4 linked regions of the Canis lupus familiaris genome follow. The protein of the gene in region 4 purifies or fractionates together with the protein of the main gene of each other region. This does not show direct contact. Links are inferred from orthologs where the notes say so. Each region holds a gene or a part of one and is shown on either strand. Other genes may lie near its edges. The genes, in order: CSGALNACT2, METTL9, SLC30A6 and SLC30A5.

What was found.
Region 1: the proteins of SLC30A5 (region 4) and CSGALNACT2 purify together in Homo sapiens (co-immunoprecipitation; 3 studies listed by BioGRID and IntAct, counting the BioPlex papers as one, with this or other methods). This does not show direct contact. The link is inferred for Canis lupus familiaris from reciprocal best matches to the Homo sapiens genes SLC30A5 and CSGALNACT2.
Region 2: the proteins of SLC30A5 (region 4) and METTL9 purify together in Homo sapiens (co-immunoprecipitation; 3 studies listed by BioGRID and IntAct, with this or other methods). This does not show direct contact. The link is inferred for Canis lupus familiaris from reciprocal best matches to the Homo sapiens genes SLC30A5 and METTL9.
Region 3: the proteins of SLC30A5 (region 4) and SLC30A6 purify together in Homo sapiens (co-immunoprecipitation; 5 studies listed by BioGRID and IntAct, with this or other methods). This does not show direct contact. The link is inferred for Canis lupus familiaris from reciprocal best matches to the Homo sapiens genes SLC30A5 and SLC30A6.

What each region holds. Positions count from the first base shown.
Region 1 is NC_049249.1:4,092,948-4,100,964, reverse strand, and holds the start of CSGALNACT2 (chondroitin sulfate N-acetylgalactosaminyltransferase 2), read left to right. Parts: upstream 1-3,238; 5' UTR 3,239-3,318; exon of another isoform or gene 3,319-3,408; 5' UTR 3,409-3,696; intron 3,697-4,852; exon of another isoform or gene 4,853-5,521; intron 5,522-5,739; exon of another isoform or gene 5,740-5,936; intron 5,937-8,017. UniProt on the Homo sapiens protein: Transfers 1,4-N-acetylgalactosamine (GalNAc) from UDP-GalNAc to the non-reducing end of glucuronic acid (GlcUA). Required for addition of the first GalNAc to the core tetrasaccharide linker and for elongation of chondroitin chains.
Region 2 is NC_049227.1:23,420,260-23,427,585, reverse strand, and holds the end of METTL9 (methyltransferase-like protein 9), read left to right. Parts: intron 1-3,111; coding exon of another isoform or gene 3,112-3,217; exon of another isoform or gene 3,218-3,268; intron 3,269-5,176; coding exon 5,177-5,382; 3' UTR 5,383-5,878; downstream 5,879-7,326. Other genes in the region: IGSF6 (immunoglobulin superfamily member 6), read right to left, coding at 3,112-3,217. UniProt on the Homo sapiens protein: Protein-histidine N-methyltransferase that specifically catalyzes 1-methylhistidine (pros-methylhistidine) methylation of target proteins.
Region 3 is NC_049238.1:25,481,728-25,489,798, reverse strand, and holds the start of SLC30A6 (zinc transporter 6), read right to left. Parts: upstream 5,123-8,071; 5' UTR 5,002-5,122; coding exon 4,999-5,001; exon of another isoform or gene 4,574-4,998; coding exon of another isoform or gene 4,463-4,573; exon of another isoform or gene 4,461-4,462; intron 574-4,460; coding exon 487-573; intron 1-486. UniProt on the Homo sapiens protein: Has probably no intrinsic transporter activity but together with SLC30A5 forms a functional zinc ion:proton antiporter heterodimer, mediating zinc entry into the lumen of organelles along the secretory pathway.
Region 4 is NC_049223.1:53,460,358-53,467,683, reverse strand, and holds part of SLC30A5 (zinc transporter 5), read right to left. Parts: intron 6,742-7,326; coding exon 6,665-6,741; intron 6,364-6,664; coding exon 6,193-6,363; intron 5,271-6,192; coding exon 4,982-5,270; intron 4,811-4,981; coding exon 4,602-4,810; intron 4,046-4,601; coding exon 3,888-4,045; intron 3,279-3,887; coding exon 3,149-3,278; intron 1-3,148. UniProt on the Homo sapiens protein: Together with SLC30A6 forms a functional proton-coupled zinc ion antiporter mediating zinc entry into the lumen of organelles along the secretory pathway.

The sequences.
Region 1 (8,017 bases), on a different chromosome or scaffold from region 4:
CAGAGTTGTGAGTCCAGCCTTTAGTTATTCCTTCCTCTTCGGCCCTCAGTAGTACCCTGTGTTGGTCCGTGCTCATCGGTGACCACCACACATTCTGTCCTCACACATGTGGGTCCTTCAATCACTACCTGAGCTGTTTTATTTTTCTGGTTGCCACCAAACAAGGCAACAAGATTTAAACACGAAGCACACACACCAAAAGGCAACAGGAAAAATAAAATCTGGCCCAAACAACATGTTCTTGTTCAGAACAAGAGCCCAGCAAGGCCTTGTAGGGGTGTCAAAACCCACTACAGCCAGGGCTGGAGGGGATGAGGAGACCTCGGGATGGGCCTCAACTCAGCATTCGAGTTCTTGAGAACATTTTTGGTTTTATTTTTTTAATCATGGCGCCTTTTCTTAGGAAGACGTTTGATTTTTATCATGATTTAAATGATTTTTAAATTTAGCACAATGGAGAGATTTGATGCCATATTTACTATGTAGGTGGGTGGTGTGAGGGGAATGGGCTCACAGACGCTTCTGTCCCCATCACTGAGTGATCACTGCGCCCTGACAAGAACGGTATGAAGAAAAGGGGCATTTGAGTGGAGTGGCCTCCAGTCCAAGGATTGCTGACAGCTGAGACTTGGCTGCTGTGAATCCCACTGCTGCCAGCCTTCATGCACCACATGTCCAGCGCCAGAAAGCAGTGGCTCGTCTCATACATTAGGAGTAGTGGGTGGGGTTAGTGCTCAGCTTAAAAAGGACAGTTCAGCTAGTTATGTTAGAAGTAACATTGACAATGACCAAGGACTGCTACCCTCTGATTACAGTTCTGATGTGGAAAAGACAATGTTTTGGCTCTCATAGAGCTTGTGTGAAAAGGTACGTGTATCCACTCTTTCTGTCTTTGTAAGTTAATGCTGCTATAGTGAGACATTCCTGTTTATTAGATTCTGACCATGACTCATAAGCTTCTTGACATTCTTCACTGCTTGTTTGTGGTCACAGACACTCAGTACTCCTCCCATCTGTGGGGGTGGCTTTCGGGAAGTCCCCAGCTGCTCTTCTGACTGTAACTTCTAGGGAGAGGGTCAGTTCCCAACACGCTGCCTGGCCTTCAGACTTAAAGCACTGTAAAGGACTGACAGTGTCTCATCCAAACGCTGTATCTCATAGGCGTTTCACAAAAGCAGTAAAATTAGGGCATTTTTGTAGCTTGGATGAGTATGTAGCAGAGCCTCATAGTATGTGTGTGTATGCGTGTGCACACAAACCCGCAGAGAGCTGGAAAAACACGCTGTAACGTGGCTTTAGTTTAGGCCACTTTTCAGACACACTGTGATAAGTTCTTTTACAAATAATCTAGTTGTGGTAAACTTTTGGTTTTCAGATGTGGTTAATGACAGTCTTATTAAATGCAGAAAAAAGGATAAACTCTTCAAATTGTTAAAAGATACCTACTCAACAGGTGCGAGTTGCCACAGTGGGTTTGTTCCTGGCAGGGTGAAAGCTCCAGGTCTTAACCCTTGACCAGTTATCTAATGTCTATTCCTGAGTTTTAAAAGCACTCATACTTACTGGTCCTAGCAGACTATTTTCATATGCATATACACTGAAGTTACCAAGTATTAAGTATTACTGAGCATTAAGTAGCAATCTGTCAGTTATTAAAATTTGTAAAATCTATTTATGAAAGGTTACTAAACCATACCATTGTTAATTTGCTTTTGTAACAAGGTGACTAAGGAAATAATTTCAATTATGTGAATAAAATCATCTATCGTAAAATGTGTAAACTTCTTTTCTCTTTTTAACTTCCCAGTTGGAAACATCAGGTTTCTGATTTTGAAGTTTCAATGTGTAAGGATTGAAATACCACAAGGAGATCTGTCATGGTAACCCCTGGGGAAGTGACAGTGCTCAAAGAACTAGGAGGTGCTTGGTCATTGACTTATCTTGAACAATATGTAGGTGACTAGGCACATTATGGGAACTGTTAAAGTGCAGCTAGTTCCACCATTCTTTCCTTTGTGTTTCTTTCCCTGAAAGAGAGCAACAGCCACATCGAGTTCAGGTGTTTGCGGTTCTCTAGCAAATGGGGCTGATTTCTTAAAGCTGCCATTAGACAGATGTGCAAGAAGGGATGCAAAATGCATAGCCATAACTGAAAGTCTGGTACAGTCAGTGATAAACTTTTGCCCTGAACTACCATAAGCTTAAAAGACCAAGTCTTTCTGCTGGGTTATGCATGCATTCTCTGAACTCCTCCTCAAATGCCTGGCAGGGAGCAGATAGGTCAGTTGGCAAACACAAGTTGTTACCAATATAAATCTGATTTCTGAGTGTGTCGTGAAATGCCAAAAGCCTATGTCATTACACACGTGCACACACACACACACACACACACACACACACATACCTGGACAGACTGCCCCTGGCCCTCGGAGCTCTGGCTTCTGGCCTCAGCACCCATGTCCACTCTTGACGTCCCCCTTCAATCTGAATCACAGGGGCTGGAAGTAAACGTAATTTCTAGGGTGAGCGATATGTTACAGTCTTTTCCTCTGACCGTTTAGAAACCCATGCTGAGAAAAGCTAATACTAAAATACTAAAAGCCCCCTTTTTCAAGAGCATTGAACTTCCATTAGTAGTGTTTGTATGTTTGGTTTATTTGTCTTAAAAAGCACATTTCTCCACCAATTTCCACAAATGATGCTTTTCTACCATAAGGGCAGCTTATTTTAAGAGTGGAAATTTAGTTGAATATAATGCCTGAGAATGGGGCTTGGACAAATACTTTATATGTAATAGAAAATTCAAAGGGAAAGCATAATCTTCCCCAGTATAAATAAAGCATCATTTCCCCCAGTGAATGGTTTCCTCTCCTCCCTTGGGCATATTCATGTATAAGATATTTAGCAGGTGGCATTTAGGGTGGTTCTAGATGATGCCTGAGAAATCCCTAACTCTGTGGCTCTGGAAAGACATGGTGGTCTGAAGGGCATGCGTAGTGGTGGAGGAGCTTCCTCATCCCTTCAGCATGAAGATATTCACAGACCTTATCCTCTGCTCTTGTCCTTGTGCAGAAAACAGTCTGCCTGTTCTGTTCTCTCATCTCTTCTCCACAGGCAGCAACCTTGATGGCCTTGTTAGAACTCTAGGGATTCACAGGAACTGTTCTTAGCTGACATCACAAAAAATCAGAACCTCTATGTAGAGAATTTTTCAATTTGGAGCACCTATCCATTCTGCAGCCAAGGCTGGATGGGGCGGGGGGGGGGGGGGGCAGTGTAACAGCAGCAAGAGTGAGCATCACACCCAGAGTCAAAGAGGTATGCACTATCAATGCCCAAAAGAAATCATGGTTAATCTTTGCAACTCAGGTTTTGATGGCTATGTCAAGTAATGAGATAATTTTGCAGATGTTTTGTGGGATGTGCTAAATCACAGGACCTGGCCAACCGACATCTCTCAATGTGAGCCTGGCCCAGAGTTGTGACAGGGAAGCCATCTACAGGAACTTGGTGACTGCAGAAACATCAGTGTCACAAGGAACTGGGCCAGGCAGCATGGAAGGAGTCACAACCCAAGACCACTCCAACCCAACCACCATGACTTCAGGAGTTCTGTTCCACACCGGGAGGCACCATAACCCTGCATCCATTCAGAGGACACAGCAATTCAAGTTCAAAGTTAGCATGAGAAGCAAGGTAAGTACATTCCAAAACTAAAAAACAAAACAAAACACAAAAGTAACTTTTTGAGAAGGAAATCATTTTGATATTTCATAAACATAATATTTACCATGAAAATGATCAATTTCATGAATAAAAATGTGAAGTTCATTTTAAGTGTCCCCGTTTCTTTTAATCTTGGTCAGTTTTGTAAACAGTACCAGAATAAACCATATGTTTTTTGGCTGCTCTTGTCTCTCACCTCCATGCCAGTCCTTTTCTGCACATGTCATTTCCCCTGTGGAGTAAAGTCATTCCTATGGTTTGGGAAGGGTCTAGACTGGAAGAAGGAAGAACGCAAGGCTGCCTCTTACTCCCTGAGGCAAGGGACTTTGCCCAGAGGACTGTAGGGAGCCCACATGGTGCCTGTGTCACAGCCCCTGTCCTCAGATGCTTCTTTCACCAAGGGCCTATGACATGCTTCACATGTTGTGCCTCCTGGGAGCTTTATTTTTTATTTATTTATTTATTTATTTATTTATTTATTTATTTATTTATTTATTTATTTTAAAGATTTATTTATTTATTTTAGACACACACAGAGAGAGAGAGGCAGAGGGAGAAGCAGGCTTCATGCCAGGAGCCTGACGTGGGACTCAATCCCGGGACTCCAGGATCACGCCCTGGGCCAAAGGCAGGCGCCAAACCGCTGAGCCACCCAGGGATCCCCATCCTGGGAGCTTTAAAGAGGAAATTTCCCTGGAGGGTCTGTGGCCACAGGGCCTGGCAGGTCAGGTGCATGCCAAGGGTTTGGGGGACTTCCTAATGTGTGGAAAGAAAAGATTATCAGATTTTTAAGAAAAGGAGTGATACAGAGGATGGAAGGATTCTGGTCTTTCATGAGATAGTCATTGAAGTAAAAGAAGTATTGTGTGGGGGACTTGGGTGACTCAGTGGTTGAGCATCCACCTTTGGCTCAGGTCATGATTCCGGGGTTCTGGGATAAAGTCCCACATCAGGCTCCCCTTGGGGAGCCTGCTTCTCCCTCTGCCTCTCTCTCTCTCTGTGTCTCTCATGAATAAATAAAATATTTTTTTAAAAAAAGCATTGTGGTAGAAAATTGTATTTTTTTCAGAGGACCCCAATTATCTATAATCTTAAGTTTCATGGAAATAAGTAAAGACCATCCAAATGAGAACAAGCAGAGGTTATTTATTCTGAACTTGCTATAGTAAGAGAGTCAACCACCATCAGTTGGTTTTGACAGAAACTCGAACGCAGGCAGAGGAGGGAAAAGCTTTACAGTAAAAAAGGGGGTGAGGGAGAGAGGCTTCAGGCACGTTGTGCTTGGAAGTTGTTGGCAGGGGGAAGCGGAAGGTAGGCTACCTAGAAGTCGGGCATCTTATGAGATTTGCTTTGGGAACATATTTGGCTCTCTCTGATTGGTTCTGATTTGGAAATAGCAAAAGTGGGGAACGTGGCAGTCATAGACCAAGCCCCGACCATTCTGGGCCAGTTCCTACAGAGGTATGGGTCAGGGCTTCTCAGTTTACATGTGGTCTGGTCATTGTATGTCTGCATATTGTCTCTCAGTCTTCCTTTCTGATCATTTTCTTGCTTGTGAGAAGTTGGTGAATTTAGGGAAGTCTAGAAATCCAGATCTTAAAAAAAAAAAAAAAAAAAGAAATCCAGATCTTCACCACTTTGAGATTGATTGTTCAGTCCTCTACAAGGCCAACTGTATCATGAAGTCTTTTCAGCCTTTCTGTTGTATCACCATGAGGATCATCTGATGAGGAAAGTAGCTGTGCAGAAGCATTTCAGACCCTGGATAGAATGCAGTGGACCAGTATTACTACCCCTATGACATAAATAAGAATGAGAACAATTAATAACCCCTGTCAGATGCTTTGAACCCAGAATCCTAACCCAGGCCCAAGAATAAATTCCATACAGGTCCTGAGGGTCAGTTTTACAGAGCAAGTAGCTTTTACCCGTAAGGCACTGTAGAGCCTGCCCCACCTTCCCTGTGTCACTGATCCAAGGACAGTATTAGGATTGGCACACACCATGACTTACCCACATGAAATTTAGAACAATGCAGCTGTCCCTTTACAGCTTCTCCAGTGTCAATTTAAGGTAGTAATCAATTTGTGCTCCATGAATAGTTTCAGGGAGAAAATTTAGTTGTTTGGCATCATGATCTGCAGAGCGTTGCCTTTAGCTTCAATATTGTTGTCTCTTTTTGCATGGTTCTCGACCTTCATAGTAGTCACCTTTGTAGTAAATAGAATGCATCTAAAAGTTGCTTAACTTGTCCATTTTTGTGGGGGTTCTAGCATCCCAAAGTTGTGTGGCACCCCAAAAACATATTTCCTGTCTATATTATATGTTTACCCTCTAGTCTTTGGCTAGTTAACAAGCTGTAGTAAATGCAACACCTTCTGCCATTTTGACTGATTTTACCTCAGGAGAGGACTAAATTCTAAAGGAGACCTTCAATTAATGATAGTACATGCTGCTTGATATCTTCCAGCTTCGAGAATGATCCATCAGCAAACAGGATTAGTTCAGGGTTCTCAATATGAGACTATAATACATGTGAGTAAGGTACAGAGAGTTCCCAAATTATCTGAGGTAAAATGATCACTAGGCTCCCCTTCTTCTGCTAAGAGAAGCAGAATGTCTGGATTCAGGGTATTGTAGCAGTAAGTAGTACCTGAGAGGGAGAGAGTAATAGAATTTCATAAGATGTTAAGCAGCTGGCTGAGAAGTGCTGTTTCCAGTCAATAGTAATGTCTCTACTTCAGGAAGGATCATGAGGTCAAGCGAGGAGCCTGGAACTAGCTCGGCAGAAGCATCCACAAATTTTGCAGCAGAACACCTGCCCTAACACTAGGGGCATATAGCATGTCAAGGGAAGGCTAGGTAGTAAGTGATGGGTTTTGGATGGTTCCCGTGAAACTCCAAGGTCTTGTCCAGATTGCTCATGCACAAATAGACAGAAGGGCCTTCTGTTGTTTCAGATGTCTAGGGAAAGAGGTCACTGAGGAGCCACCTTCAGGTTCCAGAAAGCCTGTTCATTTTGGGGCTCCCAGAGGAGAGAATCTCTTACTAAGAACTTAGTTCATAAAGAGGTATAAAAATCACAGAAAAATTTAGCAACAATGGGGCTGAAAAATCTAGTGGAACCTTTAAATCCTGGGATCCCTGGATACCTCAGCAGTTGAGCATCTGCCTTTGGCTCAGGGCATGATCCCAGGGTCCAGAATTGAGTCCCACATTGGGTTCCCTGCGAGGAGCCTGCTTCATCTTCTGCCTATGTTTCTGCTTCTCTCTCTCTCTCTCTCTCTTTCTCTCTCTCTCTCTCTCCCTCTGTGTGTCTTTCATGAATAAATAAAATCCTTAAAAATAAATAAATAAACCTTTAAATCCTCTCAGATGTGATTTTGTGAAGGAGCTACCATAGATTTGAGTAGGTTTTAGTCTATCAGAAGAGAATGTTTTCTGCTTCTAGTTGAACCACATCCTAAATAATAGACTGTATTTTGGCAAAATGGCAATTTGTCTTTTGAAATATTATGACCTTCTTCTAAGGCTGAGAATAAGTAAATGGAATCCTTTTTTCTCTGAGTAGAGTAGGAGATCATCTACATATGGTGTCCTAACAATCACAAGGGAAATTTAGATAACTTAAATTAGATAATTTAATTTTTTTTCATTTTTCCTTTTCATTTAATTAAAATTAGATCATTTAGATCTTGATTAACAACTTGAGAAAAATAGTAGGATACTTCGGTGAACCCTTGGGGCATGACCATCCTGAAGGACAGTTATCTTCCCCAGGTGAAGGTAAGAAAGGTACTGTCGTCATTCAAACACATATTCAAAAGACAAATAGTATGTGAGTCCATTCATATGAGTTACATAGAGCAGTCAAATTCATAGAGGCAGAAAGTAGAATGTTGGTTGCCAGGGGCCAGGAGAAGGTAAAGTGGGGAGTTAGTATTTATGGGGGAAGAGTTTCAATGTGGGATGAGGAAAAAGTTCTGGAGCTGGATAGTGGCGATGGCTATGTAGAACAATGTAAATGTACTTCATACCACTGAACTGTATACTTAATGGTTAAAATTGTAGGGTTTATGTTGTGGAAATTTGCTATTAATATGTACAAAAAGTTATTGACTGTCCTGTTCTAGAAGCACATTGAAAAAAGCGAGCAAAGATTCACTACAGCCAGTGTCTTCAGCAAGTGGCTCACAGGATGGTATATGGGCCAGAGAATGGGGAATAACAATTTTGTGAATGGCCCTGAGGCCATTCTTTACTGCCAGGATGGGCATATTACAAGGGTAGG
Region 2 (7,326 bases), on a different chromosome or scaffold from region 4:
GTGGTGTGTAGCAAAGTGGAGACAGTATATGCAGCTCGTGGAGTTAGTGGATGGTTTAAGTGAGACCATCCGTGCATAAGGAATGTTTACTTGGCTAAGCCTTAATAAGAATTTAGTAAGAGGTAGCTATTTCTGCTGCTGCACCTGTCACCACTTCTCCTCTTCCCATGGTGTCAGCCGCCCATGTCAGGGATAATTGTGGGTGTCTCAGCAGGTGTTCGCAGGATCGGGACTAGACACCCAGTCTAGTGCTCTCTCTGCTGCGTGCTTCCTCCACTCTAGGCCAGCTAGGTCCCCACCTTGGCCTTCTTTCTGATCCCAGGCCTGTGCCACTCTGGTGTTTATAAATGGGAAGATCTGCCCTAAACCCTTTTAGGGGCAAGGGAGAGCCTATGTAAAATAATATTGGTTGAGACAGATTAGAATTTATGCTAGTTTTTAGTCTGACTTCTGCTGGTCATGTGTTCCAAATGGTCTTACTCGTCTGAGTTTGTCCTTAGCTGCTGTAAATGAAACTGAAAAGTAACCCAAGTGACCTGATGCTTGAGTTTCAGACAGGGGTTTTTGTTGTTGTTTTTGACTTAATGGTTTTCATAGTCTTCATCCAGAATGGAAGAGAAATTAAAATTAGAATCATGGCATGTGTGATGCAAATATATTCTCACCAATGTTTTAATTTTAGTATACGTACAATCTGAGATGTGCTGGACGTGTTTTAGTGACCTGGTAAATGTAGACCAGATGAGAGGGGAAGGTCACCTCACTTGTCTGCAGCTGAATAGGATAGCACTCACTCCTACGTCTGGTAAATATTGCCTCATGTCTACTCAGAGGCAGTCCCTTTAGAAGTATGAACTCTTTGCAAGTTATGATCAGTATATCATTATGTTGAAACCCATTTGGGGGTTTCAAATGGAGCTGGGCCCGCCAAGATCTAACAGTTAGCTGACAGCACCTCAGTCTGAAGTCCTCTTCAGATAGTCTTAAAAGGGAAGCTGATGTTTAAAATTTTGGAGAACTAAAGTGCCGGGGAAGAATAAATACTTGCAACTTTGGAGTTTCATGTTTCCCCTTATTTCCGACTTCTGCATGGTTAGTCTGAGTGTCGGAAAAGAGCCCTTGATGATTTCTTTTGAGAGTGCTGACTGGTGAGGAAACTGCTGCCCCTCCCCTGCACCAATGACAGCCTCTTTGCAAAAGGGAGAAGTGTGGATAATGGGTCACACCAAGCCTAGTCCTGTAAGAATTTCTCTTTAAGAATTCTCATCCTGGGACGCCTGGGTGGCTCAGTGGCTGAGTGTCTGCCTTTAGCTCAGGTCGTGATCCTGGGGTCCTGGGATTGAGTTCTGCATTGGGTTCCCTGCTCAGCAGGGAGCCTGCTTCTCCCTCTGCTTATGTCTCTATGAGCTCTCTCTCTCTCTCTCTCTGTTTCTCATGAATAAATAAATAAAATCTTCAGAAAATTTTTTGGAGATAACTCCAGACATAAAAAAAAATAGGAGATATGAGATAAGATATCTCATATCTTAGAGGATTCTTTTTTTTTTTCTTTTCTTTTTTTCCCTCCAATGTGGTACCCTCTGAAAAGGTTGAAAGTTTATCTTTTTGGTGGAGGAAATAACAAAAAAGATGACTTTAGGGGTGCCTGAGTGGCTCAATGGATTAAGCACCCGACTCTTGATTTGCTTTATCCCTCAGCACCTCCTGCTCCAAAATCACTTTACTGTGATCCAAGCTAGATCCAAGCTGGATAAATAGAAAACTGATTTTTGACACTTTTCTTGGAGAATTTCAAGCATACACAGAAGTATGGGTAGCTTGGTGAACTCCCTGCTGCTCCATGTCCCAGTCTTGTCTCTCCTCTCCCCCCATCTGTGAAGCATTCCCACATGATTTTAGGGTAAATCTCAGATATTCTCTTTTCACATCTGTCAGACTATATCTTTAAAAGATAAGGATTCTTCTTTAAAATAATACTAATGAAAATAGTTTATGAAAGTCATATAAACAGATGAGAAAAAAAAATCAGAATATTACTGAATTCACCCATGGTCCTCGTGCCCAAATAACCATTGTTAACATTTTGATATATTTCTTTGCAGATGAGAAAAAAATTATTTTAAGACCTTTTTCTACCTTCCCTGTCCTATGACCCAGACTTTGTGAACAAGTTTGAGATTATTAGCTTTATTACAGCTATGATGAGATAGATTATTAGAACCACTTTCTTTTTCTTTATTTTTTAAAATAATTTTCATTTCTTTATTCATGAGAGACAGAGAGAGAGGCAGAGACACAGGCAGAGAGAGAAGCAGGCTCCTCACAGGGAGCCTGACGCAGGACTTGATCCCCGGATCGGGATCACACCCAGAGCCAAAGGCAGATGCTCAACCACTGAGCCACCCAGGAATCCCCCCACTTTCTTTTTCATAGAGAAAAAAAATCAATATAAGCAGAATTTTAAAAGTATATCTATTATGGGATGGTTATGCTCTATAGAAGGAGCCATGGCAGCATTTCTTTTTTAATGACAAGTACTTTTTAATTTACAGAAATCTGGATTTTCAGAAACCTTGTTCTTTGAAAATATTCAGCAAGTATTGCATAGTGCCTATCAAGTGCAGTGTGAGTTTGCCTATATGGAAACGACATTGTTGATGACTAGCACATGCAATTTTAAGAACATTTTCAACCCTTTGTTTGGTGAGGTCCTCTTCTCTAAAGCAGCAAAGGGAATTTTCAAGGTTAATCTGAAACTTTTGGGCAGCCTGGGTGGCTCAGCGGTTTAGTGCCGCCTTCAGCCCAGGGTCTGATCCTGGAGACCCGGGATCGAGTCCCACATTGGGCTCCCTGCATGGCGCCTGCTTCTCTCTCTGCCTGTGTCTCTGCCTCTCTCTCTGTGTCTCTCATGAATAAATAAATGAAATCTTTTAAAAAAATCTGAAACTTTTTTTCAGCTATTCTTTTATTACTTATTTGTCTGGGGGAAGAAGACCATTTCTATAGTGTTAGACATTTCAAAATTAATCTGTAGGGGCTTAAAATATAAATGTATTAGGTGAGGAATAGCAATTGATTAGATAAAATGGAAGAGAAAAGAAAGAACCTTACCGACATAAAAGAGAATCAGATTGATTTCCAGGCCAAGAACGATCCTGCTTCCCTTCACAGTCTCCATTTCTTGGGGTGTGCGTGTGCGGTGGTGGGCAGTATGCATTTGAAGAGAGTGAGCTCTTTTTTTTCTGTCTCTTTAGAAAAGAAGAACTGAAGAGAGGAACTCTTATTAAGGAACCATAACCGGGAACTTTTTGAAATTGTGTAAAAGATTGTTTGTAACCCAGTTTCACCATTTAGAGTTGAGATTTTAGTATAGGGTACATTTCTAAATGTGCATATGGTAAATTGTTTCTTGAATTTGTAGACATTTTGAGGGAGATTTTGATTTACATGTAGTCTTTATTCCCAGGAGAGAGTATTGTTTGACAGATAAATTGTTCCTTTAAATTTCCAGAGTATTTTGGTCACTGATCCTGGGGTACCTACTGTGTGCTCAGTGCTGGGCCAGTCACACTGGAAGCAGAAGGAAGTGTTTTCATGTAGAGAGAAGAGAAAAATTAATGAACAATACATCGTGGTATAATGAAGAAATGCTATGTGACATTAACTAGCTGTACCTCAGATTTGTGTAACCCCTTTCTAATGTGTCTTTGAGACCAAGAGTGGGCCCTCTGTTGAAGTTCCCTCCTCCTCCCTCTCCTGCCCCACGGAGGCCTCATCAGTCGGGTTCTTCCTTGGAAGCAGCAGAAACAGACTCTGGCTGATTTCAGTGAAAGGAAATTGATTGAAAGGATTCAAGGGTAGCTCACACAGTCATGGGAGGATTGGAGAATCATGCGTAGGGTCTAGAGCCAAGAAAAACACCTCAGAAAAACATGCTGTAAAACTGATCTGAAAAGTGTACTCCTGCTGCCGAGCACTAGGGACCATGGCACAGACTGCACTCTATTGTTCATAACACTTGATGCTGCCCCAGCTGCTTAGTGTCATGGCCACTGCTCTGCCCTCCCAGAGAAGGAGCCTACGTCCCTCTTGTCTGGGTCACTAGGTCTTCAGTCTGTGTCCCAGGCGAGTGTTCTGAACTTAAGTCATGTGCCGGTGCCTTCACCATAGGAATAGAGGGGAAAGCTACTTCCCCAGGCTTTGACTGCCATAGGACTCTAGGAAGAGGGTTCAGGTGCCGGGTGTCTTTGTACTCTTGGCACATATCATGCATTTTCTCACAGAAAGTTACTCTCTGTCTGAATTTAGTAATATACTTAATATGTGTGCATTTTAAAAAACATCACAGTATATACAAACAACCTAGAATTGACATATACCATCATCTGTGTGTGTCTGTGTGTCTGTAGCCAATGCTTGGTGTGAACCTGAAGACTTTATCCAGCCACCCCATCCCCACTCCTTAAGCATCTGAATGCTCTCCTAGGCTTGCAAATGACCGGGACAGATTTCAGCCACTAGTCCAAGAAATGCCAGGCCGACACATCCGTTCTAGTGCGCGCTCTCTCTCTCTCTCTTTGGTTTTGGAGCTTAACTTGTATAAAAGTGTTATGAAAAGTTAGGGAGTAGCTCAACTTCACTTGAAAAACACATCGATGATCTGTCGTTATAAATTAAAAGCCTCATTAGTCTGTTTTCGGCCTGATAAATCTTTCTAGTTAATACATTGCATACATTTACTATATCTCGGGTGTATTTTCTTGCATTTATCCCTAACCTTTCTTTCACATTTTATGGGTAACTCTCTGCTTTCATATTCCTGTGTTTAATGAGGAGTTCACTAAAACCATGAACTATTACAACCCATTTGGTCTAATGAAGGGTAATATCTGAAACTGTCAAAGATGGTAAAACTATAAGTTTTGGATCCAGACAAACCTGGGAATGCATTTCTGCTCTTACCCTCACTAACCTTGTAGGCTTGGGTGAATCCTCAGCCCTCTGGGTCCATACTTCATTTCTGTCCTCTTACCTCGGGGATATGAGGAAGATGATTCATCAAAGTCCCCGGTGCTTGGCACATACCAAGTCCTTGGCAAATGTTGTTCTTCCTCCCTTCTCTCTTTAAGTAACTTGTTTGTTCAAGAATTTAACTTAATGTTTCTATTTGTTTTAGTAGGTGGCAAGTGGGAGAAACCATCAGAAATTTTAGAAATCAAGGGACAGAATTGGGAAGAACAAGTGAATAGTCTGCCTGAAGTTTTCAGAAAAGCTGGTTTTGTTATTGAAGCTTTCACCAGACTACCATACCTGTGTGAAGGTGACATGTATAATGACTACTACGTTCTGGATGATGCTGTCTTTGTTCTCAAACCAGTATAGACACGTGGAGGCCCAAGTCTTCAGAGCCCACCCCAAGAATGTACACTCCAGAAGAGGGTCTGCGTTTGCGGTTATGTGAAGGGAGGACCTTTGGGGACTGCCATTCTAAATATCATGTAGGAATTTAAAAAGCCAAAATACTAATTATTTCTTTGTAGTGTGTAAAAGGAATGTTTTTAAAAAACAAAACCCAACTCTTTGAGGATTTTTATCAACTCTTTACTCAGTAATACAGGTCACACTCCAAGTATGGAAGATATTTTTTATACTTAATTGCAGTAGGGACTCATCCCCAGTCAAAGCAATAGTCACGACTTCACATGGAACCAATAAATATGGATTGTTTTTAATAAAATGAAGACTGGCAATAAAGCTGTCCATTCAGTTGCAAATATTTGGTTACAAGGTATAGCCACTGATACTCTTTCATGTTTAGAAATTCTGTCATTATTCAAAAAATGTTTTTAATCATGCTAATAAACTTTTTTGGAGATGACTCTGGCATCATGTTTGAGTTAATATAAGGCTCCCCTAGGATCTTTTATTGCTTTGGCTTCAAGAGTGCCCACATAGTAGCATTAGGTGAAAAGTACAGTTGACTATGTGATAAAGGCTTCCGACTGGGTGAGGGGCTGGGGGATTATTGAAATTGTGGTGAACACTGAGGCAGTCTAGACTAACCCTTGAAAGAGCAACCTCATTCAGATCTAATACTTCAGGGACCATCTCCCACTCCCATTTTATGTTGCTTTGGGAAGTGCAAAACACTGGCTTCTGACTTTGTGATAGCTTCCACACTAGACTCAGAATTCTGTTTTTCTGGACAATCTCAGGTTCTCATAATTTTTTTTTATTCTTTTTTTTATTTATGATAGTCACACACACACACACACACACACAGAGGCAGAGACACAGGCAGAGGGAGAAGCAGGCTCCATGCACCGGGAGCCCGGCGTGGGATTCGATCCCGTGTCTCCAGGATCGCGCCCTGGGCCAAAGGCAGGCGCTAAACCGCTGCGCCACCCAGGGATCCCTCAGGTTCTCATAATTGAACCATTCCGTTGTGTCTGCTGATAAAACGCAGCCTAAAAATGTTTTAATTCCCCTTCTTACTCTACACATGTATACCTCTTTCCCAGAACCTGGTTCTTCCCGAAATCCTTAACTGAGTTTATTTGCCAAGAATATGGATTGATGAAGACCATGTTAGACTCCTACATTCTAGAATCCTTGAGTGCCTCCAACCATATACCCACAAATGTTGCAATAGAGGAACTCATTAGCAAGATCAATAACCATTGTGCATATTCCAAAGAGAGTAGAGCACTTAACCCAGAATCTAAAATCTCAATAATAACAGAGACACGGATTTAAAATCGTGGTTATTAACAATATGTTATTCTCATGACTTTATTTCTTTTTTCAGCCAGGTGTTTCATTAAGTATTCTCATTTATATGCTCATAGAAGTCATCAAGTCAACACATTTACTGCAACACCTGGGTATAAAGGAGAATTAAAGCCTTGAAAAGAGTTACTTTATTATTCATTAAGAACAGCATCCCCACATCCTCACACCAATATCTTCCACTGTTATGTGTTGTCATAAGAAGAGTTGGGTTATGTGATTTATGCAAAATTGTTATTGGTGCATTCTAGTGCTTTTTTTCCAGGGATTCAAATACTTAGCACCCTAGATTATAAAAATAGAGGAAATGAGTAAACTTAATGTAGTTCTTTCACAGCTGAGTTTGTTTCTTTATAAATTGTCATAATCTTGCTGTTTAGACTGTTGAACAAGAGTGCAAGAGTAATGGATGTTCAAAGAGGCAGTTGATGCAAAGTGTTTCATAATTTTGAAATCAAGAATGAATAGGATGGTCTGTTAAAAAAAAAAAAACACCAAAAATCTCTCTTCTTATCCCCCCCCCCAAAAAAAAACCCC
Region 3 (8,071 bases), on a different chromosome or scaffold from region 4:
ACATACATACATACATAAATAAATAAATAAAATTGCTTATTTAACATAAAAAAATGAAAACAGTGTGGTAGGGGGTGCCTGGGTGGCTCAGTTGGTGGAACATGCAACTCTTGATGTTAGGGGTCATGAGTTCTAGCCCAATGTTGGGTGTAGAGTTTACTTAAAAACAAAAAGTGTGGGGATCCCTGGGTGGCTCAGTGGTTTGGTGCCTGCCTTTGGCCCAGGGCGTAATCCTGGAGTCCCGGGATCAAGTCCCACATCGGGCTCCCGGCATGGAGCCTGCTTCTCCCTCTGCCTGTATCTCTGCCTCTCTCTCTCTCTGTCTATCATGAATGAATAAATAAATATTTTTTAAAAAAACAAACAAAAACAAAAAGTGTGTGGTGGGATCACGAGTAATTTCTACATGCCTTAAAAATTATCTTTTTCAATGTCATAATGTTGTCTGTGCAATGATTAAAATTAGAATTAATAAAGATAACTTACCCTTCGGTCAGCTGCTACAAGTCTAAATTCCTGTAATAACTTGCCAAAAAAAGATCTTTGCGGTTTTCTAAAGAGATGAATTGTCCCCTTTAAGATAAAAAATAAACAAATCAGCATTGAAGCATCTAATCTTTTTCATATCCTGTAATGGGATATGATGGTAACAACTAACATATACTGAACACTCAGTATGTGGCAAGGAATTATTCTAGACACTTGACAAGTATTTATCCATTTAATTCTCATAATCATCTATGAAATAGAAGTGATTTTTAGTAAATTGTCCAAGGGCTAACAAATGGCTAAGCAGAAATTCAAACCCAGGGATTTTAGCTCCAGACTACACACTTTTATTTTGAAATGGAATAGTTAATTTTGAACCAGAAAAGCAAACCATTTGCCATTTGCCAGATAGCTCTACTGGAAATAAAATAATTCAATTTACCTAATCAAAGCTTTATATATGAAAAGTTTGGAAACTATTATTTTAGAAAAATCTCTGAGGTTCTCTCTTAGGCAAAGTATCTGACATCCTGGATAGCCTCTTTAGTCCTTGCTAGTACACAGTACGGGACCAGCAGAGAAAGGGCATAACAGTGGGGTTACCACCAAGAGAAGAAACAGTGGAGACTAGAGAGTTATTTGCCACTCAAGTACGGGAAACTTTAGCTTTTATTAAAGGAGAGTTTAAGCACACATAGGATATTAGCTTATGATTAAGGCAGTATCCAACATCAGGAGGAGAAAATATGAGTTACCAATAAATGGTTTTGGAAAAGGTCAAGTTGAGATTCTCATTGTATTTCTTATTCTAGTTTTTTGTCATGTTAAAACTAAAATATAAAACTATAGAGTATTTGAAGAAATTTATGGATGTATAATTATATAATCTTGCAGATGGAGAAGACTTTTCATAACAGGACATAAAACCAAGAAGCTGTAAAGGGAAAAAAATTGATCAATTTTACTATCTTGGGAATATAATACCCAAAAAAAAAAAAAAAAAAAAAACAATCCTAGAGAGGAAAGATAAACTGGGAAAAAAAATTTTCAATTGTTATTCCAAAAGCAAAGTATTGTTTCTAGGGGAAAAAAATCTTTCACAATTTTCAGTGGGTCATATATAATAATTTGTTTGCTAAGCGCCATGCACTTACTTGTTTGGACTTTAATTTTAGCAAAATGCTTTCCTGACAGTAAGGCCACAATCACCATAACAGCCACACTACATTGCCACCTCACTATTGTTGGCCAATTTGACTTAAATACTTAAATTTCACAGAAAGCAGTGGAACTGAGTATTAACAGATTTAAAATGAGGGAAACTTTCAGATCCAACTCCAGCACAGGTATGATTTTCCTAGTTAGCTACTAGGACCATCTCAGTAGTTATTAAAAAAAAAAAAAAAAAGGTATATCCCATTTCTTCGAATCTCAGACATGTCATTAGTTACATTAGGTTGAGACTCAGAAAAGGCAGAAAACTAAGTTGAACACTAGAAATCACCATTAAAAACCAGATTGTTGATTAACTGAGGCCAAGGGGCCTACACGGGGGCTCATTATATTATATTCTACTTTTCTGTGTTTGAAAATCTCCACAATAAAAATTTTTTTAAGTAAAACACACTTAAAATATAAAGCATTAGAAAAAAGCGTTACTAATTTTGTTATCCAAATAAAGACTAGTGTATATGTAACTCTAAGTCTTTGCTAAACTAATTCAGCTGAAAAGGAACAATATTCTATTTTCATTTGAGATGCTAATGGTCATGTTAATGAAAATACCCTATTCTTAATGAATTATGTGTAGGATATTTGGTCCCAAGCACAAATTCTGCTCAACACTGTTATCCCTGGGTATCCTCTAACTTCATCCCACTTTATTTGTTAAAGTTTTGGGTTAAGACAGTGTTTTCTAAAAGGTAGAGGGCCATTTCTGATGCCATTCTGATATTGGTTAAAATAAAACCCCACAAAAATCCTAAAGTTCATGTCACTTTCCAAAATTATATTGGTCCCCCACTGCTATCATGATAAACTCTTAATTTTACAACCTGAAATCTAATGCTTTCAAGTGATTTAGCTTGTTTCTTTTCAGTTTTATCTCTTGCTCCAGATAGGGAATCAACTCCAACTAAACTGGTGTACCCCTCGTCTCATGATCATACTACTCAAGAGTGAAAAGGCCAGACTTGTCCAACCAAGCTCTAACAATCCTGTAATACTTAAGCAAATTACTTGACCTGTTTCCTCCTCCAAATGAGAGTAATGAACAGATTAAGAGTAATGGAGTAAAGTGTAAAGTACTGTTTCATGGCTGATCTTCTATGTGAAGCCTTCCTAGATTATTCCAAACTATACTGTTCTTTACCCTACTTGCTTTGCAAATTAGCCAGGATAGCCTGCATCTTGTCATCCTGCATTTTAAGTTAATTTTTTAGCAACTTCACTAATGACAAGGGCTATATTTTCTTTACATTTTCTAAGATAGCTTGTGTTTTGCACAGTAACACCTTAATAAACAAAACATGGGTGACTCATAAACCCTTTCTTCCCCAAAACTTCTAAAATAAACCTTAAATGCTACTATTTTTTTTTTTTGCATTATGGTTTCAAGCATAAAAATTTAGTGCCAGGGATCCCTGGGTGGCACAGCGGTTTGGCGCCTGCCTTTGGCCCAGGGCGCAATCCTGGAGACCCAGGATCGAATCCCACATCGGGCTCCCGGTGCATGGAGCCTGCTTCTCCCTCTGCCTGTGTCTCTGCCTCTCTCTCTCTCTCTCTGTATCTGTCATAAATAAATAAAATGTTTAAAAAAAAAATTTAGTGCCATAGCTATTTATTTGGTGTTTTAAAGACAGGTATTTATTGAAAACCTCCTCTGGGCCAGGAACTGTTACAAGGGTCTGGGAACACCAGCGTGAATACAGAGGTCCTGCTCTCAAAGAGCTTACAGTCTAGGAAATGAGGAAGACAAGTAAATACACAATTTTAACATAGTCTGGTAAGGGCTACAGATGTTACTGGTAATTAGCACTAATTACCATGGGAGCACAACAGAAGCACCTAATAGTATCTTGAGATATAGGAGAAAGTCTCATGAAAGAGACTAATGGACATATAAGGGTTATATTGATAAGGATGAGGGGTAGGAGACGATTGAATCCAGCAGATAGAATAGCATATACAAGTTAGGTGCAAAGGCCTAATCCTTAGAGCATCATCTGCAAGCTCTTCACTGTGACTGGAATATGAATGTATGTATGTGAAAAAAGAGGCTATAAAGAAGGTTTGCGCGCACACACACACACACACAAGACAGCAGCATTAGCAGCTTGACAACACATAGCTTTTGTGTGCCATACCATATAAGACTTTATCTTGAGGATTATGGCAGGGAAAGGATTGAAGCAAGGGGCGGGGGGGGGGGGGGGTGAGCAGGGAGTGACACAGTCCAATTTCAGAAATTTAATTCTGGCTGCACAGTGGTGAATATTTTGAAGAAAGTAGCTCGAAGGCTATTTGGACAGCCTCACCGACAGTAAACTTTTACCAACTTCCTGTGTGCAAAGGAGGGATTACAGGAAATTTACAATAGAAAAAGAAAGTATAAATAAGACCTTTTTGGGGGACCATTTCCACTCAAGGAAAAAACGTACTAGAGTGACAATGGCTTAGGCACTGACAAGTGGTGCTTCTCTCCTACGGAGGCTATCAAGAGATCCAAGAATTTTTCTGATAAAACGGTGTGTTCCTTTTTTTTTTTTTTTTGGTGTGTACCTTTTTTGACGTCAAGATTACAATCAACTTATCTTTCGATAAAATTCAGAGATATATATATTTGATTTGTAAAAGCATAAAAAAGACGAATTTCTCTTTTAAAAAAAAATCACATTCCCCCGAAACCGTAAGGTATATAGTGGGATCTGCAAACGCAGGGAAAAAACGTGCAATAAAGACGCTCTACCAACACCTGGACTCTCTGCAACCACCGGCCTTCTGAAAGTTGCTGCTGTATCAGGCTCCCTGGCGCTCCACTAAGCCAGGTTGCAGAGTGGGGCGTCCACCTCAACACCCCACTCATAACCCTCTTTATGAACAACGGTATCGTCACTGATGTAAGTAAGCATCACTAGTTACGGTCGCCGTTGGTTGGACTTGTTTTCAGAGCTTTTGCTGGTGCAGACGCCGGCGCCGGCAAAGACTTTAATTTCTGTATCAAGTATATATCTCGGCACGGGAAAGTGATAAACGCTAAGAACTGAAAGCTCGGCCGCGAGCAGAGCCGGGATGCCAAGCGCCTAAGGGACCTGGCGAGGGATCGCGGGGGGTTCGGAGCTCTGCGGGCAATGAACGCTTCGGACGTCAGCCGCTTCTCTTGCGGGGGCCCGAGCACGACTCCGAGGACCCCTCCTTTGGGCAGCTGAGGCATGTCAAGGCCGCTTCGGGATGCGAGAAGATAAGAGGCATCATCTACGACAGAAACCCTCAGACCCCCAGCCAACTCACCATGATAAGGAGCCGCACAGCTCCCGCCGGAAGACGCTCTGGGAGCTGGGGTTTTCCTAGAGCGGAAGGGGTGGGGCCTCGGAAGCCGATTGGCCGAGAGAGACCCGGGGGCGGAAGTGCGTGCGCCGACTCTCGTTTCCGCCCGCTCCCAGGCTACCCCTGCGTGCCATAGAGGCGAAGGCAGCAGCTAGAGCGGCCGCGCCCAGGCGCTTCCGGGGTACGTAGGTGGAGCCGAGGGAGCTGAAGACCCAGTCTTCAGGGAGCGCCTAGGTTCTCTTTGTAACGTTAGGAAAAATCTCACTTAGTGCTGAAGCGCTTTTACTTGTGGGGTAGAATTTTTTTTTGCAGTGCTTTGTGAAATAGTATTCCCGTTTGAGGAACCAGGCCGAATAAGAAACTTGCCCAGAGGCGTATACATCCGGTTCTCCGTTAATAGCCGAATTGGAACTCAGACCAGTGTAGACAGTACTGTGTTCTGTTTCCCAAAGCGCTGATTTCTCGTGAAATTAATTTTAGGGAACTAATATTGTAGAACACGGGAAATAAAAAGATTCTGTGTAGAATACGCAGCGCGTGTGTGCATCAGGCACTAGTCAGGGAGACGAAACAAGGAGGGAGGGGGAATAAGTGTTTACAGTATGGAGAGTGTCGTGTAGACAATAGAGTGACTGGGTCGCTGATTTATAGTAGTCCGAGAAAGCTGCTCTAAGGAAGTGAAATGGGACTTCTGAGTGACCAGTCTTTTTGCGAAGATCATTCCAGGCGGGATAGACCATCCAAATAAAACAAGCAGTAGGTGTCCGAGGGTCCGAAAGAAGGCAGTGTCTGGAGCCTTGGGCTTGAGGGCAAGAAGCCAAGAGATCTAAACGGTAAATGGGCAGACCGAGCAGGAATTTCTAATTTAGGGGTAAGGAGGCTGGTTCGGTTTTTGTTTTGCCTTCTAAGGGATACGGGAAGCCCACGGAGCGTTTTAAGGAGGCGGTGAGCTTTACGCGGTGGCTGGAGAACGGGTCGTCGCTGGGCAGGAATTGCCAACCAAGCACTCCCATGGTAGGCACTGTTCTGAGAGGTTAGCATGCATTAGCCAGACCCTTCTTAGTGGGATTGAAACCTCGAACTCGATTCCCCTGGCAGCTTCCATCTCTCCACAGCTCGTTAGACTCCCCAACTATGGCTTTCTGTTAGGTTCCTTTGAATATTACTCTGCACGGATACGATTTTGGAGTTCACCAAGGATTTGAAAGAAATCTGTAGGCATATTCTGGGGCTTTTATCTCTGAAATGCTTAAGATTTCCTTCCTGATTTTCAGCTGTTTTACAAGCCCCAAGTGACTCTTTAGCCCAAAAAGACTATTAGGTTCTGCTTGAAGTCTCTTTCTAAGCACCTTGCACACACTGGAAGTTACCCTTGGGGTAAAAGCTAGTTAATGTGGATCTCTTCTAGGACATGGTTTTGTGCAGTTTCTGCCTGGTTTTGCTTGCTCCCTAGAGTCTTCTAATCTTTGCTTTTTATATTTTGTTCACTTTATAATTATTATGGGCAAGAGTTAGTCCAATACAAGCTACTCCTTCACTGCTAGACTGCAGCCTCTGAAACCTCAAAAAGTTTCAAATAAAAATAATTAAAGGCAAAATAAAATCTACCATTTATTTCCAATCCATTAGGATAAAAATCCACTTTATGCAGCTGAACCCTTTAATTCATTTTTTTTTCTTCTGAAGAAAAAATACAAAAGACCAGATTAAAATTTGAGATAAGCACTTCAAGGAAATTCTTTTTCTGACTCGAGTCCAAAGCCAAACTAAATGGTTCATTCTACCAAAAGAATTAGTTTCTGTACAAAATATAAAGAATTTTACCCTATAAATAGACTGCTGTATATTTACTTAAATTGGAATTCTCGTATCTGCTTTTCCTTCACTTCTTCCTAAGCACAAAGCATGGTCAGAAACCTAACAACCTCAATGGGCAGACTGTCTTAGAATAAACTTTTACCATTATCTGGGAAAGATAGTACTGATTCTTTCCTTTGGCTCAAAGTAAGTTTTAATATAGTTTACAAAACACTGCCATATTAAAGTGAGCACACTAACTTTTAATGTTTAAGCATTACTTTTTAAGAAGTTAATATGACAGTTCAACACAGAATCCAAAAGGTCACAAACGAAGTCTAATATTCAGAAAGCCTCGCCAACTTCTATCTTTATTGAAAAAAAGAAAAAAAAAAACAGACGAATCCCTTTGCCTCCAATTATATCATTACCTTATTTTCATGGTTATTCTATGAGGAGAAAAAAAAAAACAGCTTAAAGTGAAAATAAAATAAAAAGTAAGCCATAGAAAATACTTCTCTATCACTAAGCTCAACTTCAGACTTTGGTCAGGAAAGTAAAAGAACTTCTATACTGTATGGATGGTTATTCATACAGTAATATATAATTGTGATTCAGTGTTTATGAGAATATTAGCTTGACTTTTCTATTTTTTAACATTTGAAATCTTTGTTATCTAAAAACTATGCCAATAAAAAGTGAGCTACATTACTGCAGATAGAATGATTTTAAATATCATATTTTAAAAGTTGAGCATGAAGCACACAGACCCTTAATATGACTGACCAGTTATTCAAGTTTCATTAATGTTAATCCTTTTCTAAATGAAAATACAAAGTGAAATTTTATGAGCTTTACTGAAAATGTTTTAACTTTGGATATTCCCAATTCTTGTCATCATGTATACTGTATGATCTTTCATTATCAATATTTTATGATTGATGCTGTAATGTTTGAGACCTTAAAAAGATACAACATGTGATTGAAAATAGGCATGGTTCTGGCTTAAAAATTTTTCTTTTCTATTTATCTCAACCCTCATTTCTGTTATCTAGGGAGTTCTAAGTTCATGATTAGAGGAGACATTTGAGTTACAGCTACAAATAGCACATTATCTTAAGAAACCAATACATCTATATGTAGATTAAATCTTTAACAAGAACAAGAATAAAATTAAAAAGAATGTATGTCTTCATTATAAAATTCTTATTTAGCTGGGGCAAGTTTTTAATTTTAATGT
Region 4 (7,326 bases):
TATTTATTTATGATAGTCACACACACACACACACACAGAGAAGCAGAGACATAGGCAGAGGGAGAAGCAGGCTCCATGCATCGGGAGCCTGACGTGGGATTCGATCCCGGGTCTCCAGGATCGCGCCCTGGGCCAAAGGCAGGTGCCAAACCGCTGCACCACCCAGGGATCCCCTATTTTATTTATTTCACCAGAGACGCAGAGACCAGGCAGAGGGAGAAGCAGGCTCCACGCAGGGAGCCCAATGCGGAACTCGATCCTGAGACTCAAGGATCACGCCATGAGCTAAAGGCAAAGGCTCACCCAGGCGTCCCTCTTTTGTTTATTTAAATAGAATTTTTAAGTATTGCTTAGTAGACCAAGTATGCACTGTAACTGAAATCTCATTTATATTACCAGATAAATTTCTGTTTGTAAGACAATGACTATAATTTACTAACTAGTCAATTCCAAATACTTACCTTATTGTTTGTTAAATATAGTAAAATTTCCCAAAGGAAAAAGAAAGTATAATGGAAAAACAAACATGTAATAGTAATCTTTCACTTTTTAAAATTATTTATTTTTAAAAAAAGATTTTACTTATTTGTGAGAGAGATGGGGGGTGGGGAGTAGAGGGAGAAGCAGACTCCATGCAGGGAGCCCGACGTGGGACTCGATCCCAGGTCCCTGGGCTGAAGGCAGCGCTAAACCTCTGAGCCATCCGGGCTGCCCTCACTTTTTTTTTTTTTTAAAACATTTTATTTATTCATGAGAGACACAGAGAAAGGCAGACACACAGGCAGAGGGAGAAGAAGGCTCCCTGTGGGGAGCCCAATGTGGGACTCAATTCCAGGACCCCGGGATCACGCCCTGAGCTGAAGGCAGACGCTCAACTGCTAAGCCACCCAGGGGTCCCTCACCTTTATTTTTTAGTGAACGGCATTATCTTGATTTAATAATGCCACAATAACATCTTGAAGGATAAACAAAGTTACTTACTCTTAATTATCCTCTCTTATAAAATGATTTTGGATAGTTGGTTCAGGGTGTTACTTAATTTACAAACATTACAATTTCTCCTTTAGAGAAACCCATTTGATTTATAAAAAGAATATATAAAAATAATGGGGACAGATAATTCTAATTAATTTCCAAAGATGTAAAACAAGAGATTTACCCTTCTTACTGAGGTTCAGAACATTTGTCTGTCAGAGTTTAAAATTTTAGTTTTTTATGTTTTTAAAGATTTTATTTATTTATTCATGAGAGACACAGAGGGAGAGAGGCAGAGACACAGGCAGAGGGAGAAGCAGGCTGCACACAGGGAGCAGGATGTGGGACTTGATCCTGGGACTCTAGGATCACGACCTGGGCTGAAGGCAGGCGCTTAAACCACCCAGGGATCCCTTTAGTTAGCTTTATGAACTTGAAGATGGTTAATGAATTTTGAATTAAATCAAATACTGCATAGAGGCCCCATCATCTCAAATATTTCTCCTCTAAACAAATACTTCATGTAGATAGTGCCAAGTCCCCTGTAATCCAACCCCCAAGAATTAGTCACTTAAACAATGGCGTATTTTCTATGCAAATACTAAACTACATATATAAAAACCTTTTAAAACACATCACATTATAGTATTGCTTTGGAATTTTTAAAAACTACAGTTCTTAAGTACTTTTTATGCCAGTATATATAGATAAGCTCCATTCTTTTTATTGGTTGCATGGTATTCTATGAATGACAGATTTAACTAGTCTTTTCTTTAGGACATTTTTTTCACCATAATGAACAGTGACACAATGAATCATGCACCTTTATGCATCTGTGCAAATATATATTTTTTGGCAAGTATTTTTGTAATAAATATTAAAGGTCAAGGATGTAAGCATTTAAAATTCAAAATAAATTTCTAAACTATAATCTAAAGCATTTTACTGATAACATGCTTCCACCAACCAGATTCCTAATTACTTGTAATTATTCAACAATTAATTGCTGATTTCCTACTATAAGCCAGATGCTAGAATTTGAGTTAATGATAGACAATTTAGGTCGTGAAGAGATCACTTACATCTTTAACTGTAGAAGAATGACAGAGGAGTTATACCTCAATGTTACTTAAAAAAAAAAAAAGAGAAAAAGCAAGACACAAGGGAAATAGTATGAAAGGGAAATCTTCCAAACTCTGGAGAGGGAAGAAAGGGATTAATGGAAAGTATCTCACTAGCAGAGACATATCGGCAAAGTCCTGATGAAGGCTGAAAGGCAGGTGTGAGGGAAAGGCAGGCCAACTACAAGAAATAGCACATGCAAAGGTTTGGAAATACAGGGAAAACATTACAGACTGCTATAGCAGAAATACAATCTACAGGGTAATTATCATTAAAATGATAATATTTTTATGATTCTATCTTTAACATTTTGTAAATTTCCTCAGGTATTTAAAAAGCACATCTTCACACAAAAACATTTATTTATTATTTTTAAAAGATTTTATTCATCTATTTGAGAGAGAGTGTGTGTGCACAAGCAAGAGAGCACAATCAAGGGGAGCAGAAGAGGGAGAGGGAGCAGGAGACTCCCCGCTGAGCAGGGAGCTCTGACATGGGGGCTGGAACTCAGGACCCTGAGACCATGACCTAAGCTGAATGCTGCTTAACTGACTGAGCCACCCAGGTGTCCCACACAAAAGCATTTGAGGGATCCCTGGGTGGCGCAGCGGTTTGGCGCCTGCCTTTGGCCCAGGGCGCGATCCTGGAGACCCGGGATCGAATCCCACATCGGGCTCCCGGTGCATGGAGCCTGCTTCTCCCTCTGCCTGTGTCTCTGCCTCTCTCTCTCTCTGTGACTATCATGAATAAATAAATAAAATCTTTAAAAAAAAAAAAACAAAAAAAAAAACAAAAAAAAAAAACAAAAGCATCTGATAAGTCAGAAAGAAATCCGTATGGTTTAGATCGTCATCTAACTGTCTTACTACGAAAATATTAGAGAAAAGGATTAATTTCTAAGAGCAGTATAAATGTAAATATAAGATGTTAATTTACATTAAAAAATAAAATAAAACCTTCCTAGATCAATAACTATAGAGAGTTAAACTTTAGCATGGAAAAGGCGATAGGGGATATGAAGAGAAATTCAAACAGGAAAATAAGGACTTACTGTTAACATGTGTGTGTCTAATTCCGGAGGATCAATTAATCTAGCCACTGACTCCACAAACACGAAAAAAGCTATTACCATTAGAAAAAGTCCATTAATAAATCCAGAGAGAATTTCTATTCGGCCATACCTAAAAATGTAGAATATATTTTTAGAAAAAAAAATGACAAATATTTTAAAAGTATAAATATTATGTTACATAAGAGTATACTAAGTTCAGATTTTTCAACTACGTACATAAATACGATCAGAAGATAACCAAGATCCTAAACACTACACTAATGCTGCAAGAGTCTTTCTGTACTTAAATTTGTTGCAATTTAAAATATTTATCAAAGTCCTACATAAACCCTTTCCTAATTTCTTAACAAGAAGTTCCTTCTCTTTAAGCCCTTGATGAGCTTTTGATCTCTGTCACAGCCCACAGATTCTGCTTTACATCAAAATTATTTGTATTTTTGGCTTACTGGTCTTTCAAAATATTAACAGTTGAAAAGAACTAAGTTTATAAATCTATTTAGGGTAGGTCTTATCAAAATTCTGTGTACAAATCAAAGATTCTAATATCTGTTAAACTGATTATTCAGTTAATGAAAGGATATTTCATGCATAGCCACCTTAAAATAAAGTTCTAAAAAATTATTTGTAATAAAAGTAATAAAATTTTATTCCCTAAGATGGAATCTGTCCTTAGGATTTTTTCATTGTGTTATATCACTTTGATGGTCGGTGTCCCTACCCATAGGAGAAAATCCGAGTTGCTTTCCATCTACTCATCAGGGCTGCAAAAAGTCCCATGACCAAAGCAGAGCAGTCAAAGAGCATGTGAAATCCATCTGAGATCAGACCCAGACTATTGGTCAACACGCCATAGAATAATTCCACAAAGGTAAAAAGCTAAAATAAATTTAAAGAAAAACAGGGGAGGAATGTGTTAGGAAATATCATTTCAAGAGATTTATCAGGACTTAATCATGAGAATTTTAACTATTATGCAAACCTTACTTGAAGATTAAGTGACACTTAATTTCATTTCATATATACTGCAAGCTATTAAGCTCAATCAAATATGTTCATCTTACAAATTCTTTAAAAGGAGATAGTTTCATTTATATGTCTGTAGAACTCAATAAACTAGGATATAAAATGTTAGCAATCCATCCAGTCTATAGTGAGATCCTATGAGAAGCAGATAAAGATTTTATAGGCTACTATATTTACTGATTTGAAATAGCACACTAAACTAATGCATCTAAAATGCCTCAAAAATTGTTTGCTAAGTAAACATTTTTTTAATAGGTTGAATATAATCCTGAAATCTTCCCATCGCTGAGAGAAAATGTAATTTTAGCCCCTCTCTATCAGAAATTTGGGAATCACTAAAATTATACCAGAACTGTCAAAATTAAAAGTTTAAGCTGTTAAGATGTCACTAATATATAAAAAATCTTACCAGATTCAAACACAAGAAGTAAAAGATCTGCCTAGAGTCATTCTCCTCAAGAATTTGTTTTAGTGATTCCTTAATAAACCTAGGGATCGATTGGGAACTATGCTGGAAAGCATCACCCATGAAGTTATAAAGAGGTGTTCCTTCAGGAGAATATCCAATTAGGGTACCTTTCTGTCCTCTCTTGGAAGGAGATGATAAGATGTTGGCAGCTTTTAAAAAAGGGAAAAAAACAACAAAGTTACAAAAGTTTTATAAGCTTAACCTACCAAAACCAACACAGTATCTGTCAGCACTAAACACAAGCACTGAAGAAATTCCCAAATTAAATAATTTCAACATCAAAATGCATGAGATTAAATTTCCTAAGGAAAAATGCTCACACAAAATGAAGAATATAGCGCTCACTACCACTCCTCCAGACAGGACATGTTCAGTGCTTTCCTGGTGTGCTGCTTTGTTCATAGCTCGAAGCTGGTCTGTTATTGGATGTGTCCAAAAATTTCCAAAAAGTAGAGCACTAATAAAAATGGGAAAAGATCCATAGCGGGCACATTTGGAAACTTCCATTTTGACAGAACAAATAGAATCAACATAGAAATCCAGGATCATGACAAAAAAGATAACTGTTGTGAAAGGCATAATGAGAGAAAACCAAGACTCGACTTTACTCTAGAAATTAAAAAAAAGAAAAAAAAATAGTTAGTAGTGCACAGGAATAAAGTTCACATCTTACATTTTAGTTAATCCCTTTATAGATAAACAAATGTTCTAATTCAATGATTCATAAGATGCCAAAACATAAGAGCTGTAGGATATTAGTGCATTTCCCGGTTATCCCCAAAGTATTAAAAAATAAAAGTACTATGATTTAATAATTATATAAATACCAGATGACCCACAATCCTTGTCTGTAACACATGGTATATATTAAATGGTTTTCTTAGGGGCGCCTGGGAGGCTCACTTGGTTACCGTCTGACTCTTAATTTTGGCTCAGGCCATGACCTTAAGGTGTGAGATGGGAGCCTTGCATCAGGCTCAGCATGGAGTACGCTTGTCCCTTTCCCTCTGCTCTTCACCCTGCTTGCTCATTCTCTCTAAAATAAATAAAATCTAAGTAAAAAAAAAAAAAAAAAAAACTAAATAAATCAATTTCTTTCTTTCTTTTTTTTTTTTTTAAGATTTTATTTATTTATTCCTGAGAGAGAGAGAGACAGGCAGAGACACAGGCAGGCAGAGGGAGAAGCAGGCTCCATGCAGGGAAGCCCAATGTGGGACTCGATCCCGGGTCTCCAGGATCACACCCCAGGCCGAAGGTGGTGCTAAACCACTGGGCCACCGGGGCTGCCCATAAATCAAGAGTTTCTTGAACAGATTTCTTTGGGCCACAGGAATGGAAATATAAATGTAATAGTACTTGATTTGTTTTCTAAACAATAAAATTTACTTCCCAAATTTTTCAACAATTACAAAAAATGCCAAGATAATTTAAGATACTTGCAAGCTTAAAGTGAAGTATAATACAATGTAGTTAACTAAAATTTTTAAGTAACAGCAATTCATTTTACTTATTACCGATAAATTCCTCTTACCTCAGTTGTCACAGAAAGAACAATGACCCATGGACACAAGAGAAGCACAGAAATAAGATGGGATAAAGCTTGAAGACGTTTGGCTCCACCAACATCTATAGAGAGTTTTCTGGAAGCTGTATGAAAACCAACTTTACAACACAAAGCCAGTACTAGCAACAACACTCCACCCTATGAGTAAAATGAGAGAAGTTTCATTAGAAACACACAGTCCAATATGCGATCCTTAAATACATAATATTTGGAGAAAATGGAGCTATTATGTTTCTTCCATATCCCAAATTACTAAACCACTTAAGTATCACGCAGTTCTGTAAATTACTGGTAACTTATTTTATTTTTTTAATATATAGTTTTTTATTGGAGTTCGATTTGCGAACTTAAGAGAACTTTTAAAGTTATAGTTGCTACTCTTTTTTTTTTTTTTTTTTTGCTACTCTTGATCATTCTAGGAACAAAGAAAAGAACATACCTTGTGATCCGCCACACCTAAGAAGGCAATGGCTGTGTAAAGCATGTGAGTTAGAGCACTGTCATGATGTCCTTCAGCTAAGTGAGTTGCAATAAAGGAAAAAAAAATCCCAAATATTAACTCTTTGAATCCTTAAGTTCTCCTAAAATTTTAGCTACATTATTATAGGCTAGTTTGGGGGTCCCAAACCTGTTTACTTGAGGTTGCCCTTAAATTTATTATTTATTGTCCTTAAAAACAAAACAATTAAAAATTTAATTCTGGGACATGATTTATAAATTAGAATGGCCTGTATTTCTTTTGTTGTCTCCAAAACAATTATAATAGTGCTTTAAGATACAGTTGTTAAATTTTAGTAGTTAACCGACAAAAGTGTATGCGTACAGTTGTAAGCAGGACAAAGGGACCAGAGGAAGGAAACTTCTTGGACCATTACTGTCATGGAACTAAGGCTTTTTCAGAACATCTCAAATCAGTCCTGAATCTAAGTCCTGCCCACGTAAGCCTCAGCAAAGAAGGCAGCTTAGAGATGCAGTCCCACTGTTATTAGTTAACTGATGGGCTTTCAGATAGTGTAACAGCAGGAATTAGAACTGGTGTTCCAAGGTCAGCTAAATGGAGTGGGAAGAGGTGTGTGGACAGAAAAGAACAGGCATGTCTGT